2 linked regions of the Sus scrofa genome follow. The protein of the gene in region 1 interacts with the protein of each later gene in a pairwise test. Links are inferred from orthologs where the notes say so. Each region holds a gene or a part of one and is shown in the gene's direction. Other genes may lie near its edges.

Region 1 (7,551 bases):
GGAAGCATAGCAGCTTGGGCTCCTGCGGGCCAGCCCGGGACCGATAATAAAGGGAGGGTACCTGTCTGCTCCTGACGCCCTGCATCCATGGCCTTCCAACCCTGGGAACTGTGCCAAGCCGGGAGAGAACCAGCGCTTCCACTGCAGCAGCAACTCGAGCTGCTGCAATTAGAGTCTTAACCCACTGCACCACAGCCGGAACTCCCAGAACTATATTTCTAAGCAGAAGGCAGTTAAGTTAAAAGTCAGTAAAAGAAGAGCATAACATGGAGTTCCTGTCGTGGCGCGTCGGAAACGAATCTGACCAGGAAACATGAGGTTACGGGTTTGATCCCTGGCTTTGCTCGGTGGGTTAAGGAGCCGGCATTGCTGTGAGACGTGGTTCAGATCCCGTGTTGCTGTGGCTGTGGTGTAGGCAGGCGGCTGCAGCTCTGATTAGACCCCTGGCCTGGGAACCTCCATATGCCAAGGGTGCAGCCCTAAAAAGACAAAACAAAGAAGAGCATAACAGTCCCGATGTGGTTGGAATTTTTTTTTGTTGTTGTTGTCTTTTTAGGGCCGCACCTGCAGCATATGGAGGCTCCCAGGCTAGGGGTCGAATTGGAGCTGTAGCCACCGGCCTACACCACAGCCACATCAAATCCCAAGCCACACCTGTGACCTACACCGCAGCTCACGGCAACGCCGGATCCTTAATGCACTGAGCGAGGCCAAGGATCGAACCCGCATCCTCATGGATCCTAATCAGGTTTGTGACTGCTGAGCCAAGAAGGGAACTCCCCAAAGCTGGATTTTTACAGGAGCAACCAAATATAAAGAACTGAGAAAAGTCCAAACAAAAAGTTAAGCACTTTACATACCTCTATGCTTGGAATTCACAGAGCATTTTCATGATTACTGTTTCTCTTTTTAAGTTATAGTTGATTCACAATGTTCTACCAGTTCTGCTGCACAGCAAAGTGACTCAGTCCTACACACATACATTCTTTTTCTCACATGATCTTCTATTATGTTCTATCACAAGTGATTGGACACAGGAGTTCCCGCAGTAGCAGAGCGGAAACAAATTCCAATTAGGAACCATGAGGTTTCGGGTTCAAACTCTGCCCTCGCTCAGTGGGTTAAGGATCTAGCATTGCCGTGAGCTGCGGTATAGGTCACAGACACGGCTCAGACCCTGCCTTGCTGTGGCTGTGGTGTAGGCCGGCAGCTATAGCTCGGATTGGACCCCTAGCCTGAGAACTTCCATATGCCTTGGGTTTGGCCCAAAAAAGCAAAAAACAACCAAAAAAACAGTAATTGGATATAGTTCCCTGTGCTATACGATAGGATCTCATTGCTTATCCATTTTAAATGTAATCATTTGCATCTAACCCCAAATCCCCGTCCATCCCACTCCACCCCCCCCCACCGCAACCACAAGTCTGTTTTCCATGTCAGTGAGTCTGTTTCTTTTTTTAAAATTTTTTGTCTTTTTAGGGCCGCACCTGCGGCATACGGAAGTTCCCAGGCTAGGGGTCTAATCAGAGCTGCAACTGCCTGTCCTACACCATAGCCACAACGCCAGATCCAAGCTGCACCTGGAACCTACTCCACAGCCCAGGGCAACGCCAATCCTCAAACCACTAAGCAAGGCCAGGATGCTAGCTGGGCTCATTACCGCTGGGCCACAACAGGAACTTCCCTGTTTCTGTTCTGAAGATAGGCTCATTTGTGCCATATTTTGGATTCCACATATAAGTTACACGATATTTATCTTCCTCTTTCAGACTTACTTCACTTAGCATGAGAATCTCTAGCTGCATCTGATGGTTGTTTCTCTTCATTCTTCACTCGATTATATTCAGAACTGGGAGGTGTGTCCCCCACCTGACTGGAAAACAGAAGCCGTATCACTTGTGCAAGCTGGATTCCTGATTTTTTTTTTTTGCTATTTTGTGACTAGGTCAACAGGCCAAGAAATCATCATACGTTTCCTTAAAATTGTCTGTGCAATGAATGTTAAAGCAATATACTACCCTGTGCCAAGTTCTGCTCTAAACCTCTGAGACAGAGTAAGACCCTCAAGGAGCCTTCAGTCCGGTAAAAGTCGTGAAGACGAGTCCAGTGGGAACGCAGAATAATTCAGACCCGGCCTTTCCCACCCGGGGGTCTCGGTTTCGAGAAAGACACCCCGACACTTCTGACTGCAATAACGAAGAGCAGCCTCTGAGATGTCGGGGAGGGTCCGGCTGCGGTACTAAACGGGGTGGGGCCCTCTGCGTGAGACCGCGACTCCCATCATTACGCAGGACCTTCTCGTTCAGCGCGGGAAGATGGCTCTCAGATCTCTGAAAGCTGTAAACTCCACGCTGGAGAAAAACTTTAAAAGAGCGAGCACCGCAGCGCCCCAACTCCCAAGCCAGGGGCCGCTGGGAGCAGCGCCAGACTGAAGGGGGAGGGGAGAGAGGAGAGAGCGTGTGTGCGCGCGCGCGCGTGCGCGCGGGGGCGGGTGGGAGCAGACGGGCGCGAGACGGAGACGACGGGCCCGGAGGGAGAAGGGAGGGCGTGCGTGCGCGTGCGTGGGGCAGCAGAGGGGCGGAGCGCGGGCCTCAAGGGGAGAGGATGTATCAGGAAGAGCGTGCGTGCGCGCGCGGCCGCGTAGCGCGGATCGCGTCGCCCACCACTGACGTGCGCGCCCCCGCACCTAGTTCTACCCGCGGCCTGACCGTAAAGAGGGGCGGCCGTGTCGTGAAAGGGGCCGCAACACGCAGGGCGCTGGTTGACGGCTAGGACTCCATTTTGTCCTCCGCTTCTCAGCTCGTAAGTCGCTTGATTCCGTGGCTGCTCTGAGGCGAAAAGTTTAAACGGGGTAAAAGTTTGAGAGAATATTCTGGAAGTGTGTCGGTAAGCATAGCGAGTCTCCATTTTCTTTCTGCAGCCGACTCGGCTCCTGCGGTTCCGGAACAGCGGGAGGAGATGCGGCCCCTGGACATCGTCGAGCTGGCGGAGCCGGAGGAGGTGGAGGTGCTGGAGCCCGAGGAGGATTTCGAGCAGTTCCTGCTCCCGGTCATCAACGAGATGCGGGAGGACATCGCGGCGCTGACCCGCGAGCACGGGCGGGCGTACCTGCGCAACCGGAGCAAGCTGTGGGAGATGGACAATATGCTCATCCAGATCAAGACGCAGGTGGAGGCCTCGGAGGAGAGCGCGCTCAACCATCTTCAGAGCGCGGACGACGCGGTCGAGGGCAGGGGGACCAAGAGGTGCGAGAAGGCCGAGGAGAAGGCCAAGGAGATCGCGAAGATGGCAGAGATGCTGGTGGAGCTGGTCCGGCGGATAGAGAAGAGCGAGTCGTCCTGAAGCCGGGTCGGCGGTAAGGCGGGGGCCCGGGGCTGCCCCCCTCTTGGCTCGGCCTCGGGGCCGTGGATGGAACAGCGAGCCCCTCGGGGTGGGAGTTGGGAGGAGAGAGTGAAACATGCTGCGTGTTTACCTTAGGAGGTCTTAGGACAGACCGTTTGTGTGCTTTTTCAGTCTCAGGAAGCTAGAGGGAAAAAGTGGGCGGGTGGGTTGATTCGGTTTCGTCTGTGTGTGTTCGCAACGTAAGGTCACGGTCAGTAGGATCAACTCGAGGGGCATAAGCAAAAGTCCCAGAGAACGAGATCGTGGTAGGGCCCATTGAGCTGGGGTGGAGAGAAATAAATGTACGATTGCTGGAGGGAAGGCTGTTTCTGGACGGTTCCAGAATTCGCTGGAAGCCTGAAAAGAGTCAGATGGCATCCCGGAGAGGTGGTGCCCTGCGGGGCTGCAGGTGTGAGGGCGTTGGGTTGGGTTTTCTTGAAGGATTAACCTGTTAATGCTGAGTTTCTCCCGATTGCACTTCAGGTTTACAGCCAATGGATTCTGGTCCACTGATGGAGATTGGCTGACACCCTGGAGAAGCTGAAACCAGAGAGCCTTTTGTTTTCTCTTTTTTTCTCTGTCTACACTCTTGTCCTCGCTTACACTACGTTTCTGCTATGGTCTGTGGTTAATGACCTCAATATGAGTTTTTGATTGTTAAGTGTTTTTGTTTGGGGAGGTAACTTTTATTTGGAAAACGTTCTCACGAGCAAGAATTAGGGCCTAGATTGTAAGCTCTTGCAGCAGTCACGTTTGTTCCTGGGCTTTTGTTGTTTCTAAATTTTTGAGGTGCTTTGCTCTTTCTTGTGTGACCTGATAGCTTCCTGGAACTTTGGGTCTGTGTGTGACGGATGAGACTCAGAGCTGGAGTTCTCCAGCTCTGAAGGTGCTGAAGGAACTGCATGATATCTGGAAGACGACTCCATGCAGCAGTTTTAAAGAAGCTGAAGAGGGGACCAGACTTCTACTGGGAATGTGAATGGGGCTGATCTGGCTAGGACTGATGAATCAGAAGGGGTGGAGGATGGTATTGTTTGGGGACTTTAATTTCTGTGTGAGACCAAAGGAGGAGAGATGTATTTTGTTCAAAATGTAAGTTTTATGCGGCACACTGTGTGATGTAACCTGTCTGGTCAGTTTGTTTGGACAACCTTACTCAGCTTTACTCGACGTGGAACTGAGAATAGAACATGAGATAGGTCTTGGTGTTCTGTATAATTGATAGAATACCCTGATGCATTTTAAGGCATTCTGGGCATAAAATAAAAGCGATATTTGCAAAAGCCCTTGAAGGTCTGGGGAAGAAAAGCAAGGGCTGTCTGTTTTGGACCCTAAACTGGATAGGGACTAAGTACTTTCAACATCCATAAGTTGTCTAGCTATAAGTTCATTTCAGCAGCAGACCTGACAAGTATTTGAGGTCAAAACCCTACCATGTGTTTAAAAAGAAATTTACCATGTTAATAAAAGTATTCATTTGCTTGAAAAGACAAAAGACCTGAGAAATCATTGAGTTAAGAAATTTCGTTTCTTTAAGAAAAATTTCCTTCGTAGCGGTCATCTTTGCCAAATGGGGGGTGGATTTATTGGGGTTTTTAAGCCCCAAATTACGGAGGAGGTAATCATATCTCTGCGTGCTGCTATGGAGACTGGCGGAGGAAAAAGCATGGGGTTGGCCCTTGGTATTGAGGGGGTTGGTTCCAAAACCCTTCACCCCCTCCCCACAGATAACCAAGATCCAGGGATGCTCACATTCCTTAGGAAAAATTGTCGTACAGTCGGCTCTCCATGGCCATAGATTTTGCATCCTACAGAGCCTGCCTGCACTCTGATTTTCATCTCAGGATCTGCTTCCTGGGGCATCCAGCTGATAGCAAGCGTGAAACTGGAAAACCATGTGTCACAAGCTAGATACCGTATCTTAGAGGACTGAGGAGGAGAAAGAAAGCATTTCAGAGCAAGTAAGGTGAACCTGGCCTTGAGGGATGGACACAGATTCCGAGGACAAGGAGAGAGTGAGGGACACCCAGGCACAGGGAACAGAAGGTGCCGGAGTTCTGGTGTTGGGGGTGGTGAGGGCGAGTATGATGAGCAGCATCAGGAAAAAACAAACAACAAAGCCACATTTGGTAGTTTGCCCCAACTAGTACAGTAACGCTGGTACAACAGTCAGTATCTCACGAGTTTGACACCAAGGCCTTTTTTCAGTTTCAGGATATCACCTCGCAGTTGGTAATTTATCTTTAAAAGAGGTAATACAATGAGTAAGAATTGGTCTGTTCCTTTTCTCAGCTTCCCAGTTCCCCTCTAGGAAGACAACCATTCACCAGTATCTTAAATATCATTACAAACACCATGTGTTTTAGAACATACACAAGACTTTCTCCAACCTCTTTTTTTTAAAAAAACATAGAAATACTAATCTGTGAATGTTCTGGGATAGTTTTTCTACCTAAAACTATAGTTTGAAAGTTAACCCTAGGGAGGTGCTTTCGTGGCTGAGAGGTTAATGACCCTGAGTAGGATCCATGAGGATGCAGGTTCGATCCCTGGTCTCGCTCAGTGGGTTGGGGATCCTGTGTTGCCGTGAGATGTGGTGTAGGTCCCAGACACAGCTCGGACCCCAGATTGCTGTGGCTGTCACTTAGGCCCGCACCTGCAGCTCTTTCAACCCCTGGCCTGGGAGCTTCCATATGCCTCACGTGCGGCCCTTAAAAGAAAAAAAAAAGAAAGTTCACCCCATCTAAATAGCTAGATCTGCTGTTTGGTTTTTTTTTTTTTTTTTTTTAATGGCTGCATATTATTCATTGTACTATAAGTAGAGGTAGGTGACTGTTCCGGCTTGCGACTGCTAGGTTGGAGAAGCAATTGAATCTTGCATTTTCTAAGAATGTGGTAAGGAGCCATTTGGAGAGGCCGTCTTAAAGGGCTGTACAATACTGAGTCTGGCCAGAGTTGCCAGAATTTTTTTTTTTTTTTTTTTTTTTTAGCTTTTTAGGGCCGCAACAGCGGCATAAGGAGCTTCCCAGACTAGGGGTCGAACAGGAGCTACATAGCTGCTGGCCGGCACCACAGCAACGCAGGATCCGAACCATGTCTGCGATCTACACCACAGCTCACAGCAATGCTGGATCCTTAACCCACTGAGAAGGCCGGGGATTGAACCCATGTCCTCATGGACACTAGTTGAGTTCGTTACTGCTGAGCCATGACGGGAACGCCCAGAGTTTTTTATTACAGACCCGTATGTCCCTCATGAGCCCCAGGCCCTCTCTCCGTTCCCTGACGGTCAGAGATGAGGCCACGGGCGGCTGTGCAGAAAGGGCCAGCTGGGTTCTTGGACGGGTTCCTGACACAGCAGAGGCCAGTGTCCTTTTATATCAAAGCGCTGTTGCCGAAAGAGCGAGGAGGCCGGGCAGGGAAGCGCACTCAGCGGGGGGCAGGCAAGGCATTTCGCAACAGGAGCTCTGAGGGGTGGAGGCCGGTGCAGAAGGTTCAAAATCCTGGCTGGTGTCGTGCCTGGTCAGAGTCAGGCTGGAGCGATCACAAAGCCGCCCTACAGGGGCTTTGGCGTCGGCTTTCATCAGCTGAAGCGACCCTGGTAAGAAAGCGGTTTAATTCTAGTGGACACCGCAGTAGGACGGGCAACAGCCAAGGACGAGTTCACCACATTGGGGCCGAGGGTTGGGGAGCATTATTCAAGTCTGGCCCCAGGTGAAGCGGGGTCCGTCTAAAGAGTTTCTAACCTTGCCAAAGGTAACACCTCAGAGTCCTGGCTGCCCTGGACCAGGAGGGTGGGAAAGAGGAGAACTGGCTGCTGGCCCACCTGCGCCTGCTCTCTGTGTGATCTTGGGCAGGTACTGGCTTGTCTGAAGTTCTCCAGCCCCGGCATTCCGTATGACTTCTAGACTAAACCTTAACTGAGATAAAATGCTGTAGGAGTCATGAATGTTGTGCACCAAATAATTGCAATTCTTTACCGACCAGGCACAGTCGGGGTACGCCCTGGTGCCCTGGTGGTGGTGGTGCTGCTGAGTGTGTATGTGTGTGTGACTCATTCTGGCCGTGAGTCGTGAGGGACAACATACAGTCACATCTAAGCCAGAACATCCAGGTGAGACCCTCCAGAGCTCTCCCTCTGGCAGAGGAACCCACCACCACGTTCCTTGG
Region 2 (7,386 bases), on another chromosome or scaffold:
TCAAAAAGTAAGCTCCAGGAGTTCCCCTGGCGGCCTAGCAGTTAAGGATTTGGTGGTGTCACTGCTAGGGTGCAGGTTCTTATCCCTGGCTCAGGAACTTCCGCATGCCCTGAGCACCACCAAAAAAAAAAAAAAGAGGGGGAGTAAGTTCTAGTCTTTAAACCCTGCTCTGGGGGTTCAGGCTGACTTGCGCAGAGTTCCAAAGTCTTTTGCTGCTGCACTGGAAAGATCCAGGCACTAGGAGACAGTTTATAAATGCTAACCTGTCAAGAGCAAGAAGAAAGATTCATGTCTCTCCCTGACTTCCTGGCCAAAAACTTTGCTCTGCTTCCTGTTAAATCTCAAAAAGAACAAATTAACTAATGGCCCACCTGCCCTTAGCTTACAAACCCAGAAATTGCCCTGGTGCTTTATGAGCAGTCACCTTTTTGTCTGGCTCTTTGGATGAAGCCAAGGGGAGGAGACTGGGAGCCTGGGGATGTGGTGTCAGGATAAGATTCTAGTTTGGAAGATCTGATAGTCTGGAGGGACTTGTCAAGAATTGTCAGGTGTCCACTGTGTGCATGTGCCTGTGGAAGGAGAGATCAGTGGAGAGAGTGGGAGGCTGAGGCAGAAAAATGGAGAGGGGCAGAGACTGATGAGTCTTGGAAAAGACTAAAATGATTTTGAACTACTGGTTTTTTCCCTAGTAAGTTTATTTAATTAATTTATTTATTTACTTATTTAGTCTTTTTAGCACAGCATATGGAAGTTCCCAGGCTAGGGGTCGATTCAGAGCTGCAGCTGCCGGCCTACACCACATCCACAGCAATGCAGGATCCAAGCTGTGTCTGAGACCTACACCACAGCTCATGGCAATGCTGGATATTTCACCCACTGAGCGAGGACAGGAATCAAACCTGTATCCTTATGGATACTAGTCGGGTTTGTTACTGCTGAGCCACAATGGGAACTCCTTTATTTTCTCTTGAATCAGAGACAAAAGTTTTTATTGTGCAGTTGAGTTTTTTTTAATGAAAGTCTGCAAAGCAAAATTATATGATTAAAAATTGTTAGACAATGGTTCATCATGCTGTACAGTAGAAAAAATGACAGAACTCTGTAAACCAGCTATAATGGAAAAAATATCATTATATAAAATAAAGACAGTTCCCATCGTGGCGCAGTGGTTAACGAATCCGACTAGGAACCATGAGGTTGCGGCTTCGGTTCTTGGCCTCGCTCAGTGGGTTAACAATCCGGTGTTGCTGTGAGCTGTGGTGTAGGTTGCAGACGCCGCTCGGATCCCATGTTGCTGTGGCACTGGCGTAGGCTGGCAGCTACAGCTCGGATTCGACCGCTAGCCTCGTGAACCTCCATATGCCGTGGGAGCGACCCAAGAAATGGCAGAAAGACTAAATAAATAAAGACAAAATATTTTTTAAAATTGTTAAAAAAGAAAAAGAAAAAGGAATTCCCATCGTGGCACATTAGAAACGAATCCGACTAGGAACCATGAAGTTTCGGGTTAGATCCCTGGCCTTGCTCACCGGGTCAAGGATCCATTGTTGCCGTGAGCTGTGGTGTAGGTTTGCAGACGCTGCTTTGATCTGGCATTGCTGTGGCATAGGCTGGCAGCTACAGCTCTGATTAGACCCCCTAGTCTGGAAACCTCCATATGCCAGGGGTGCGGGCTCCCCCACCAAAAAAAAAGAAAAGAAAAAATTTTGTATTTTGTTTTCTTCTTCACTTTAGCATGTGTGTTCTGTTGCCATAATTGACATTTAAATGACCTCATAATATTGCTCTAAGTGACTATACTGATATTTAGCCATTCCCCAACAGTTGAGATTTGTTTTTTTAAATGAATGATGCCTTTAAGAACATTGTGCTCAAAGTGTTTTCTCTTTTCCAATGAGCTCTTCTTTTTTGTCTTTTTTGGGCCGCATCCCAAGGCATGTGGACTTCCCAGGCTAGGGGTCGAATCAAAGCTGTAAGCTGCCAGCCTGGACCACAGCCATCAGATCAAAGACTCTGCAGCTCTATCTAACCCACTGAGCTAGTGCCAGGGATGGAATCCACGTCATGGATACTAGTCATGTTCCTTACGGCTGAGCCACAACGGGAACTCCACCAATGACTTTATTAAATTTCCTTCTGAATAGATCTTGCCAGCTTACAGTATGACCAGCTATTTACTAATTTTCCCATTTCCCTTCAGCCAGCCTCTTCATCTCTAAGTATTATAGTTTAAAAAAATAACCTTTTGTTCATTTGATAAATGCAAGGTGGGCATCATGTGTTGTTAAAAGGCATTTTTGAAATGACTTGTGTTTTCTGTGGTTTAATTGGCATTGCCCAGCTTATTGTGGTCAGAGATCTCAGTTTGGAGCGCCTGAAGTTAGGGTTGATGCGGGCTCACGCGCCCCCTAACGACCAAAACTGCCAGTGACTGAGGGGGGACGGGGGGGGCTCTGAGTGCGTGCGCACTCCATTCTCCAAGCCGGTTTTGCGGCCACCGTTTTCCGGGGTGTGGGAGAAGAGCGAAGACGCTGGCGGGGACTTGACAATGCGCAGGCGCATCACGAAGCCTGTGGATTTGTGGCCAACCGAGCATGGGCGTGGGCTGGCTGCGTCGGCGCACTGGAGGCCTGGAGGGTCGAGGCGCGTGCGCAGTCGCGCTTCCTTCAGCTGCAGCCATGGCAGGCCAAGAGGATCCCGTGCAGCGGGAGATTCACCAGGATTGGGCGAACCGGGAGTACATTGAAGTCATCACCAGCAGCATCAAGAAAATCGCAGACTTTCTCAACTCGTTTGGTCAGCGGGCGAGCAGGGGGAGGCAGGGAGGAGGGGGGCCCGCCTAGGGAGGGCGCTGAGAAGCTTTGACGCGGGTTCTGGGAGCCGTGGGCTCCTGCTGGTGTTTGCTTCCGCCTTCAGGCCGCACTTTTCCCCTCTCGCTCTGACCCCCGGCCTCCACTGATCATTCCCTGTGGGGTTATCCTGCCCCACGCTGAGCTCATCGGCTTCATTGCCTTCCCCCCGCATCCAGTAACAAGTCCGTTCCTTTCCCGGACGTGTCAGACAGCCCCATCCATCGCCTGAATCTTTCCTTCTCTTCAGGCGTCTCCCTTCTTTTGTGCTTCGTTTCAGTCGTCACTTGGTGCTCAGAGAGCGCTGTCCAGAAGCCCTTTAGCGTCGAGCCTGTTAGTCGCCCCTCCTGTCGGTCCTTTCCTGTCTCGGCGTGTGCTGTGCAGAGTGGTAGATGAGAGCGGAGGAGGGCCCACATCGCGTCCGGCCAGGGACATCTCTGCATCGCTAGTATCTAGACCACAGTGGGTGTTGTCTGCTTCTAGCAAAATCTTTCCTTGGCATGACCTGTCCGTGACAGTCTTAAAGTTCCTTCCGCGTTGTTTCCTATCCTTGTGCTACACCCTGCAGCAGAGACTCCTGACTCTTGTTCTCCGAGTGTTACTTTGAAAGAACCGGGCACTGGGTAAACTTTTTATGTCATCACAAGGTGTGGGGATGACATCTAGTGATCTTTTTCCAGTTGTGCTTCTGGCCCACTAATTCAGCAACATTAAGCGATTAAGTAGGGGAAACTGATAAATTTAAAAAGACTTAAAAAGGAATTATTTTCTTGCTAAGAGAAGTCCAAAGGAGTGTATAAAGGTGACAGCAAGAGATTTGTCCAAAAGCATCAGCAAGACAAACTAGATCTGAGTACAAGGCTCTTTCTCAGTCTCTGTGGGGAAGACAGAATAAGAACCATTTCCTACAATTAAGTGATTTCTATTTTGAAGATGAAATAATGACATCAGAGCAAAGCAGAACATTGTTTCTGATTTAATATATTTACATATAGGAATTCCCCTTGTTGCTCGGCAGTAACAAACCTGACTAGTATCCATGAGGACCTGTGTTTGATTCTTGGCCACACTCAGTAATTTAAAGATCTGTGTTGCAGGAGCTGTAGTGTAGGGTGCAGAGGTGGCTGGGATTCTGCATTCCTCTGGCTGTGGTGTAGGCCAGCAGCTACAGCTCCGATTCAACCCCTAGCCTTGGAACTTCCATATGCCTTGGGTTTGGCCCTGAAAAGACAAATATATACATGGTCTTTTACATTTGTATGTAAATACACATTATTTATTTATAATAAGCTTATAAAATATATAAATATATATACTTGCATACAAATGTGTAGGACTATAACCTTTTTAAAAAATGTTTAAAATTCTTATAGCCATACCCATGGCATATGGAAATTTCTGGGCCAGGGATTGAATTCAAGCCACAGCTGCAGCAACAACAGATCTTTTAACCCAGTGCCCTGGGCTGGAGATTGAACCCACACCTCTGCAGTGACCAGAGCCACTACAGTCGGATTCTTAACCCACTGCACCACTGCAGGACCTCTAGAACTATAATCTTGATATGTTTTGGGATGGTGGAGTCCTCATTCAGGGACTGGGGGAAAGGTTGTATTAGTGAGCAGTAAGAATAGTATAAATTATATGCCAGTGATACATATTCATACATATTACTTGCTATAGAAGTTGTGATAGGAATGGTAGTTAAGAAATTATAGATCTCTGGGAGTTCCCATCATGGCTCAGTGGTAATGAACCTGACTAGTATCCATGAGGACTCTCACTGATTCCTGGCCTTGCTCAGTGGTTTAAGGATCTGGCGTTGCAATGAGCTGTGATGTAGGTCTTAGATGCAGCTCGGGTCCCTTGTTGCTGTGGTATAGGCCGGCAGCTGAAGCTCTGATTCAGCCCTTAGCCTTCCATATGCCATGGGAGCAGCCTTAAAAATACAAAAAAAAAAAAAGAAAGAAAGGAAATTATAGATCCCTGGAAGTTCCTGTGTGGTGCAGCAGGTTAAAGAGGCACAAGCCACAACTGTGACACAGGCTGCAACTGTGGCACAGTTCAGTCCTTGGTCTGGGAACTTCCACATGCCGAGGGTGTAGCAAAAAAAAAAGCAGCAGCAGAAAAAGAAGAAATAGAAATTAGTATCCATGAGGATTCAGGTTCGCCCTTGCTGTGGGCTGTGGTGTAAGTCACAGACTCGGCTCTGATCCCAAGTTGCTGTGGCTGTGGTGTAGGCTGGCAGTTACAGGTCCATTTTGACCTGGAACTTCCATATGCCATGAGTACAGCCCTAAAAAGCAAAATAAATAAATAAGTTCCTGGGCCAGGGATTAAACCTCAACAGTGACAACCTTTACCTGTTGAGCCATGGACCTCCCTCAAGTTTTTTCTGTCTTTTTTTTTCTTTTTTTTTTTTTAGCGCTGCCATATGGAAGTTCCTAGGGGTCGAATTGGAGCTGCATCCACCAGCCTGTGCCACAGCCACAGCAACACGGGATTCGAGCTGTGTCTGCAACCTACACCACAGCTCATGGCAACGCTAGATCCTTAACCCACTGAGCCAGGGCTCAAACCTGTGTTCTCATGGATGCTAGTTGGGTTCGTTAACCACTGAGCCGTGATAGAACTTCCCCTGAAGTTATTTTTTAAAGTTCATTGTAAACTCTTTCAATGTTCTGATAATTGTCCCTCCTACTTTCTTAGAGAGCTAAACTATTATTGAGGATTCTTTACTCATAACATTCTGTCAGAGAAAAGGCCACATAGGAGCAAGCAAAATATTCCATGCTCAGGGAAGGATGGAGTGCTGACAGGATCACAGTTTTGAGACTTTGTCCTTTTCTGTAGAGGCATGGAAAGCAGTTGGACAAATAACTGACATGGAGAGTTTTTTCTTTTAAAAGCAGAATTAAAAGACTTCATTTATCTGGTAGGAGTTAATATTGGATATGTAGAAAGAATATCCAAGCAAAGTATTAAGAATGTCAGTTCAGTAAATAAAGAACCTAAAAAAAACCCAGTTAAACTGGGACTGTTTTTCAAAATTTAAGTCATCTAGCATCCCAGTCCCCCTAGTTTGCATGCAGATAATGTAATAACTTCATTTTTGAGCACTGAATCATGTTAATAAGCATATAATAAACATATGTTTATCTCTGGCACAAAACTTCTTGACGTATCACTAAATTTATAGTGAGTCTTGGAACTAACTGAAAATTTTGAGTTTGAGCTTAGGCTTTGTGGAGGAGAAATGTGTCTTTTCCTGCTTTATAAGTAAGGAAATAGCTGCTGTGAGATTTTGTATCTGTGTGTCACATTTTATTATTAGATAGAGAATGCTTTTCTTTTTTTGAAATTTCCAACAAGTTCTAGACCAACAAGCCTGGAAATAAACACACAGGAGTCCAATCTTCAGGAGCTGGAAGGAATGGTTTCCCTCAGTTTAGGCCAGTTTAGTGGCCTATCCTTTAAAGTGAGGATAATGGCCTAGCATTTGGAGTAATTAGTAGGTAGTTTGTGAAGATCTTAGGAAGTAAATTTAATCCTTTTAACGAAAAAAACATTAATTACAAGTAAGAACAATTAGCAAAATTTAAAGTTAAAGCAATTTGACTTAGCAGTTCAGTATACCTGAGGCAAGTTCCTGAAGATTGACAGTATAACGAAACAAAGACCACCAGGCTGAGAAACTGGATAAATCATAAGGACAGACTTGAGTCTGTCGTCTTGGACTTGGATGACTCAGGATGAGTGAGTGGGATTTATTTTCCCATTCTAAGCCCTGAGTATGACTCAGTTCTGCTGTGTACCTGGGAGGCTTGTGTTGTGTTTATCATGTGATTTGGTGGTACAAAGAGTTTGTTGGCGTTTATTTTGAGGGGGCATCTGTAGCACTTTAAACATACAATTCTCACCCTAACCACAGTCTTCGTAGGCCTTGTGCTCTGGAGAGGGAACTCTTTTTCCAGGTTATCGAAAGACTTTCTGAACAGCTTTTACTCTGTGATTCCAACTGGTGAGAATGGAGTTTTGATCTTTTTTTTGGTCATTTTTGCCTTTTCTAGGGCCACTCCCGTGGCATATGGAGGTTCCCAGGCTAGGGGTCAGATCAGAGCTGTAGCCGCCAGCCTACGCCAGAGCCATAGCAACACGGGATCCAAGCCGCATCTGCAACCTATACCACAGCTCATGGCATTGCCGGATCCTTAACCCACTGAGCAAGGCCAGGGATCAAACTTGCAACCTCATGATTCCTAGTCAGATTCGTTAACCACTGAGCCACAATGGGAACTCCAAGTTTTGATCTCTTGTTGGTTTTCCCTTTCAGTGCTAAAGACCTCCTGAACCTAAGGACACACAGATCATGATGCAGCCATGACATCCTGACATTAGGCCTATTCTGTATGTTGAATTGATGAAGATTTTAAAAATACATTATTACAGATGATAGTTTTTTAGTTTTACACCTTTTTCTCTGACTCTAAAGCTAATTGATATGTACAGAGAAATGTAACCAAAAAAAGAGAAGGTG

The links.
Region 2: the proteins of MORF4 family-associated protein 1 (region 1) and BRK1 interact in binary tests that used the Homo sapiens proteins (3 or more experiments, as listed by UniProt). The link is inferred for Sus scrofa from reciprocal best matches to the Homo sapiens genes MRFAP1 and BRK1.

What each region holds. Positions count from the first base shown.
Region 1 is NC_010450.4:4,118,109-4,125,659, reverse strand, and holds MORF4 family-associated protein 1, read left to right. Parts: upstream 1-2,580; 5' UTR 2,581-2,802; exon of another isoform or gene 2,803-2,920; 5' UTR 2,921-2,958; coding exon 2,959-3,342; 3' UTR 3,343-3,355; intron 3,356-3,864; 3' UTR 3,865-4,876; downstream 4,877-7,551.
Region 2 is NC_010455.5:66,312,920-66,320,305, forward strand, and holds the start of BRK1 (protein BRICK1), read left to right. Parts: upstream 1-2,518; 5' UTR 2,519-2,594; coding exon 2,595-2,796; intron 2,797-7,386. UniProt on the Homo sapiens protein: Involved in regulation of actin and microtubule organization. Part of a WAVE complex that activates the Arp2/3 complex. As component of the WAVE1 complex, required for BDNF-NTRK2 endocytic trafficking and signaling from early endosomes.